Xenopus tropicalis: one gene and its partner. The protein of the gene in region 1 interacts with the protein of each later gene in a biochemical or structural test. Links are inferred from orthologs where the notes say so. Each region holds a gene or a part of one and is shown on either strand. Other genes may lie near its edges. The genes, in order: ddx39a and sarnp.

Region 1 (3,093 bases):
ATTGGCTCCGGCTTGGGGAAGCCTTTGGGGGTTTCAGGTTGTTAATGCCGTTGGTGGGAACAGTGAGTAATGGGGTTCCATTTTATTGCAGCCATCATGACAGAACAAGACGTAGAAAATGAGCTGTTGGATTACGAAGAAGACGACGAGCCTCAGGCACCCGCTGAAACTGCAGCTCCAATCGCCCGGAAAGAGGTGAAAGGCTCCTACGTGTCCATCCACAGCTCCGGCTTCCGAGACTTCTTGCTGAAACCCGAACTCCTCCGATCCATCGTAGACTGCGGTTTTGAACATCCCTCTGAGGGTAAGCAATGTCTACACACAGGCTTAGAAATACAGTGTGAACCGACAGTGGCCCATCAGTAATACCAGTCCTAATTTCAATCTTAACTTTCTTGTGGTTCCTAAGTTGCTTCCAGGTCAACACTTCACCTGCTTTCTTTAGGTCCCCGACCCCCAGGAACTGGGCAGCAGCTTAAATGCCTTGCATAACAACTTAATAAAAGGCATGAATGGAAACTTCATTATTTATGCAATTGTGAGCGTATTAAATCCTATTATGATAAGTAACCCGACCAGCCCCAAAGCTACTGTAAGAGCAAAGATACACTGGGCTACTTAGTAGCAGCAGCTACTTGTCATGGCTACTAAACTCCAGAAAATCCCCTGCCATAGACAATTGTATGTGTGTTTTAGCAGAGGCAATTCTTATTATCCGTAAATGATCAGCATTGTCTATTTTTTAGTAGCTCAGTGTGTCTTCACCCTAACTGTTACTGCCTTCCTACAGCCTGTGACCCAAGCGTTGTCCTTGTTTGGGTCATCTATCCTTATCACTGTGGGAGCAGTTTAAATGCCTTACTAGCTGCTTAATGAGAAGGGTGAATAAGGACATTGATATTAATTCAGCTGTAAACTCATTCTATTCTGATGATTATTGTAAGTAACCCGACCAGCCAGCTAATATAACTGCTCTTCCAAGTTAAGGTTGTGCCCTTGGTTTGATCACTGACCCCAGCAATTAGCTACAGTTGGAATGCCATAATTACTGCTTTATATAAGGTGTTAACTATAAATATAGTAATTATACATATTTATGCAAATGCACCTAATTTAAGATTTCTTTTGTCCACACCAAAGCTGCAATCCCTCTGGGCACAGTTATCATATGGACCCTTAGGTGCTGCCTTAGTAGCAATCTTCCATCCCACTGGTAGAAAAATCAGTTCAGCTTATTGAAATTTAATTTCTCATGTCATTAAATATAAATGTTTCGTTTTTTTTTTTTCTTACAGTCCAACATGAGTGTATCCCTCAGGCTATCCTGGGCATGGACATCCTTTGCCAAGCAAAATCTGGTATGGGGAAGACTGCTGTCTTTGTCCTGGCCACCCTGCAGCAAACCGAAGCCGTGGAAGGGCAGGTGACTGTCCTAGTTATGTGCCACACGCGTGAGCTAGCGTTCCAGATCAGCAAGGAGTATGAGCGGTTCTCCAAATACATGCCGACTGTCAAAGTACGTACTTCATTAATCTCATGTTCTAGATCAGGGTTTCAGCTTGTGGCCTTCCATGTGCTGAGCCACCTTCATATACTGGGAATGTAGCATCCAGGGGAAGCAGGATAACTGGGTGCCATGTACTTGTGTGTTGGGTGCCCTTGCCATTTTTCTGGGTTGAGAAATGCTAAACCTATGAAATGTTCCTTTTTTTTCCCAGGTGGCAGTTTTCTTTGGCGGGCTCTCTATTAAGAAAGATGAAGACACCATACGCAAGAGCTGTCCCCATATTGTTGTCGGAACACCGGGTCGCATCCTGGCGCTCGTCAGAAGCAAGATCCTGAATCTGAAGAACGTGAAACACTTTGTGTTGGACGAGTGTGACAAGATGCTGGAGCAGTTAGGTGAGGATGCCTGTTGGGGTGCATGGCTGCTGTGGCAGAATGGTCATAGACTCTTAAGTAACTGTTCATAGTGTTACATGATGAATAACTCCCATCCTCACACCATTTTTGTTCCTTTACTAGAGGTGGTGTGGGAAGTGCAGTTCTACACCTTTAGCGCTCTATTGACTCTAAATGTGTACCTTAATCCCCGGCTGTTCCGCTTTAAAGGAACAATTCAGTGTAAAAATGAAATAAAATAAAAAAATGTTTCTAATATAGTTAGGCAAAAATGTAATCTACAAAGGCTGGAGTGAGCAGATGTGCAGAACTCTACTTCCTGCTTTCAGCTCTCTAACCTCTTAGTTAGTCAGTGACTTTAGGGGGGGGGGGCACATGGGACATAACTGTTCAGTTAGTTTGCTTTTAAATCTGAACAGAGTGCTCACAAACTAACTGAATAGTTCTGTCCCATATGCCCTCCCTCCCTAACGTCACTGACTGCTAACTGCTTAGAGCTGTAAAGCAGGATGTAGAGTTCTGTCTATTGTGTTGGACATCCGTTAACATTTTACCTCGTTTCATTTCTACACTGAATTGTTCCTTTAAAAACAACATTGGCACATAAATGACCCTTTCAGTGTAACTGGTCCTATCAGAATGTATAACAATCTATGACCCGATGCAAAACACTGTATAATGGTGTAAGGGATGGGGCAAATGATTGGAATAGAGACTTACTATGATTTATCTCCCTTTTAGATATGAGAAGAGATGTACAGGAGATTTTCCGCCTAACACCCCATGAGAAACAGTGCATGATGTTCAGTGCCACCCTGAGTAAAGAGATCCGCCCTGTGTGCCGGAAGTTCATGCAAGATGTAAGTAGTTCAGCTGGGCCGTGCCATTCTCTAAGGAAGGTTTCCTATTATGTTCTCTGTCCTTATCGCTGTTGTTTTCTCCTCAGCCTATGGAGGTATTTGTGGATGATGAGACCAAGCTGACCCTTCATGGCCTGCAGCAATATTATGTCAAGTTAAAAGACAGTGAGAAGAACCGCAAGCTTTTTGATCTACTGGACGTATTAGAGTTTAATCAGGTAAATCTTTTATACATCTCATACCCTGGATATGTTCTTATGGTATTGTGCTTGACTACATTTTTCAAATGTATTTGAACATTCTCTGGTCTAACTTCTGATATCTCCCACAG
Region 2 (3,831 bases), on another chromosome or scaffold:
GAAGTCTACACATATAGTTTACACCTTTTGCAGAAGCCAGGGACTGGCTTCCAACAGGAATATCCAGATATATATATGCAATTAAAAATTGAAGCTAAGAAAGTATAAGTGAACCATAATTATCATATTTATTTACATAGATTGCTTCAATAGTGTCACAAACTATATTTTTAAAATGACTTTTTTTGTAAGAGGCTAAAAACAGTAACCATAATTCACATAGAAGGACATATCATTTATGTTTTCTTGTGATTTTGGATTGTGGATTTTTTTTCTAGATTGCAATCATGCAATCTAGAAATGATGAAAAATGTCCAAAAGCAAAAACTAAATAGACAAATGTAAAGACATTTAGAGGACACAAAGTAAAATAACTATGGGTTGCCAAGTTAGTCACCCCCTTGTAATTCTAGTTGCTTACCTGTTAGCTGGTGCACCAGATGTCCCCTTCAATTTGGGCAGGTGCAGTACATTTCTGGTCACTGTGTGGGGTGCCCTCCATACCTCCAAGTTATTGCTGCACTGATATGCATGTTAATGTGACTGTAGTTCCAAATAGTACTGTGTTGCTTCTAATATACATGTGAACATGTTTTTGGGTTTGTTTGCTGACTTTACAGTTACAGGCTATTCTCCATATTGATGGATCTTTAGTAATGTTTTTTTTTGTATTCTGGTTTGTCTTGTAGCTGAAGAAGAGGCTAATGAAGAAGATGTTTTGGGTGAAGAAACAGAAGTAAGTGCAGGACTAACCATTAACGAAAATTGCACTAGTAATATAATAACCCATAGTGTGCATGAATGTATATACTTCCAGGAACCTATATCCCAATAAAGATGTAGTCATTTACTTTTGGCATTTCAAGGGTTGGGACTCTTATCACAGGGGGGTTGATGAGAATGAGAAAAAGCAGACATTGTTAACTCTTATTTTTCATCTGTCTACACAGCTGAGGATCCAGCTAATGAAGGCATCCTTTTTAATAGACACAAATCTAGTAATATAACTACTGATGCACGGGTCACTCGGGAGGAAATTCAAAAGAGACTTAAACATGTAATGGTAAACAAAGGTCCAGGACCGAATGGTATTCATCCTAGGGTATTAAATGAGCTTAGCTCTGTGATTGCAAAACCTCTACTTAATTTTTCAGGATTCATTGAGGTCTGGCATGGTGCCAAGAGACTGACAAATTGCTAACGTGGTTCTGTTATTCAAAAATGCATCCCTTCACAGCCTACAAACTATAGGCCTGTTAGTCTGACACCAGTGGTAGGAAAGCTTTGTGCCAGCATGGTTTTATGTGTAACCAATGTTGCCAGACTAATTTAATTGTCTTCTATGTGGAAGTAAACGGGAATGGCAATGGATGTCATCTACTTGGACTTTGCTAAAGTATTTGATACAGTACCACACATAAGGTTAATGATAAAATTGAGAAATATTGGCCTGAAACATATTTGTAATTGGATAGAGAACTGACTGAATGATAGGTTACAAAGAGTAGTGGTAAATGGAACATTTTCTAATTGGATCAGTGTTAGTTGAATAACCTGGAGGTGGGCATTGAAAGTACTGTTTCTATTTTTGCTGACGACACTAAATTGTGACAAACATATAAGTTCCATACAGGATGCGGCCACTTTGCAAATTGGAACACTGGGCAGCAAAATGGAAAATGAGGTTCAATGTTGAAAAGTGCAAAGTTATGCAGTTTGGTAGAAATAATTTAAATGCTAGTTACACACTAAATGGTGGTGTGCTGGGGGTATCCCTAATTGAAAAGGACCTAGGGGATTTTGTTGATAACGAGTATCCAAGTAACACAGTATCCAAGGCTATTGTGATTCTAAAATCTACAGTTAGTATTGATGTGTGTGTCTATAGTTTATGCATAGTATGAGAGTGTATAGATAGGTCAGAATCGGGGATGAGCGGAAAAATTTGCTGCGTGACCATAACATCCACTGCGCATCACCTTCTCTGACGTGCACGTAGCTTTTTTTTTTTTAATGCATGCGTCATTCTTTTGCGCGTCCAAAGCCGAGGCGCACCAGAGAAAGCGATGCCCGCGTCAAAGAAAGCAAATTCTTTTGCCCATCTCTAGTCAGGATAGGTTTGTGTGTGTGCTGGGGTTTGAACTTGATGGACTTTCGTCTTTTTTTTCAACCCAGCTTAACTATATAACCATATGTAACTATGTAACCTGGTGTCTGTAACAGGCAGTCTCAACCATCCCTTTCTCAGCTGCACAAGAAATGTAGGCAGTCGCTGGCTGCTGTTCTCTCTTAGTGCAATCAGACCCGGTTGGAACAGAGAATGCACCGGCATTTAACAAGCATACTTGCCCCCCCCCAATATAAATAATTGGCCATCATAATGTTCATTCAGGTCCTGGAGACCCATAAGCTTTAGTCTATTTGCTTTTTTTATTCTCTTTGTAGAACTGATGCCTTCAAACATATAAATAGTTAATTGATAAAGAAAGCCTGTGTGGGAAAATAAGAAATGTACTGATATAGAACTATGCAGTGTTACAGATGATCCCTAAAATTATCTAAACATTAAATACACCCAGTATGATTCTTTTCTACCAATAAGTATCAATTATATCTTAGTTGGGATCAAAATAGAGTGTGGGATATGAGCTTCCTGTAAGTCAGGGCTCATTATATATACTGTTTTGATAATCATTTATAAAGCACCAGGTGAACCTGGTCAATCTTGAATTGCTGCTCCCTGTATGCAAGTCCGTCTGCTGTTGTGCTAAGTATCATTTAATAATTCACCTGGCTTATAGAAATGTTTGTGGTCAGTTTCAGTCTTTCTGCAGAACCAAGAAGAACCCTTCTTAGCACTGTGGGGGACATAGTTATTAACATTTGAATGTGAGTTTTTATCATGATTTGAGGATTTTTTGCGGCCAAAATGCAGATGTATAATTGAGTTTTCTATTGTGTTTTTGCAACAACAACCCCCCCCCCCCATTCAATTCAAAATTCTATCATGGGAAAACACATTTTTTTTCCCAAAATGCGTCCTGTGTCAGTTAATAGCACTGCTTAAGCAGAATCCTGCACTAAATTTACAAAGGCCGAACAATTTTTTTTTTTATATTTTTATATGTAATTTTTAAATTTGACATGGGGCTATACATGTTAGTTTCCCAGCAGCTGCTCAGCAGAACAATGGGAAGGTAAGCATAACAGGTCTCTGACATCTGCATAACTAAAAATGCTGCCATGCTCTACCTAATGGTAGATTTGAAAATAGCAGTAAAAAGCCAAGTCATGGCTCCTTAAGCTACACTGAGTAGGAGAAACAATAGCTTATCTGAAAGCAGTTCTGTTGTGCAGTGTTGGCTGCTTCTGAAAGCCCAGAATAAGGCACAGTGCACTGAGATGATTGCCTACACCAATATTACTAAAAAAGTTTGTTGGTTCACGAATAACATTTTAAATGGCAGAGTGAATTATATTATTTGCTGTGTATTTAGTAATAAACACTATACCATAAAAATCATGACCAAATCCCTGGTAATCTGTTTTCCTTTTATTTCAGGAAGAGGAGCAGAAGAGCAGTGTCGCTGCAGTCAAGGAAGAAGAACCTGATGACAAACCAGCTGATACGTAAGTTACATAGTTCATTTGGGTTGAAAAACAAATTCCATCAAGTTTAACCCCTTTAAATGACCACCATTGCATATATAAATACACATTCAGACATATCTATGTGACTTAAATCCATTAATAGAATATGCCTTTACAGCATCACCCAATAGGGCTTTCCACAACCTAACTGCCGTTACTGTGAAGAATCTTTTTTAACTG

Evidence for each region.
Region 2: the proteins of ddx39a (region 1) and sarnp form a complex in vitro, tested with the Homo sapiens proteins (2 studies listed by BioGRID). The link is inferred for Xenopus tropicalis from reciprocal best matches to the Homo sapiens genes DDX39A and SARNP.

The regions. Positions count from the first base shown.
Region 1 is NC_030679.2:134,604,282-134,607,374, reverse strand, and holds part of ddx39a (ATP-dependent RNA helicase DDX39A), read left to right. Parts: intron 1-91; 5' UTR 92-96; coding exon 97-304; intron 305-1,295; coding exon 1,296-1,516; intron 1,517-1,718; coding exon 1,719-1,902; intron 1,903-2,643; coding exon 2,644-2,762; intron 2,763-2,848; coding exon 2,849-2,980; intron 2,981-3,093. UniProt on the Homo sapiens protein: Helicase that plays an essential role in mRNA export and is involved in multiple steps in RNA metabolism including alternative splicing. Regulates nuclear mRNA export to the cytoplasm through association with ECD.
Region 2 is NC_030678.2:138,206,175-138,210,005, reverse strand, and holds part of sarnp (SAP domain-containing ribonucleoprotein), read left to right. Parts: intron 1-689; coding exon 690-736; intron 737-3,562; coding exon 3,563-3,630; intron 3,631-3,831. UniProt on the Homo sapiens protein: Binds both single-stranded and double-stranded DNA with higher affinity for the single-stranded form. Specifically binds to scaffold/matrix attachment region DNA. Also binds single-stranded RNA. Enhances RNA unwinding activity of DDX39A.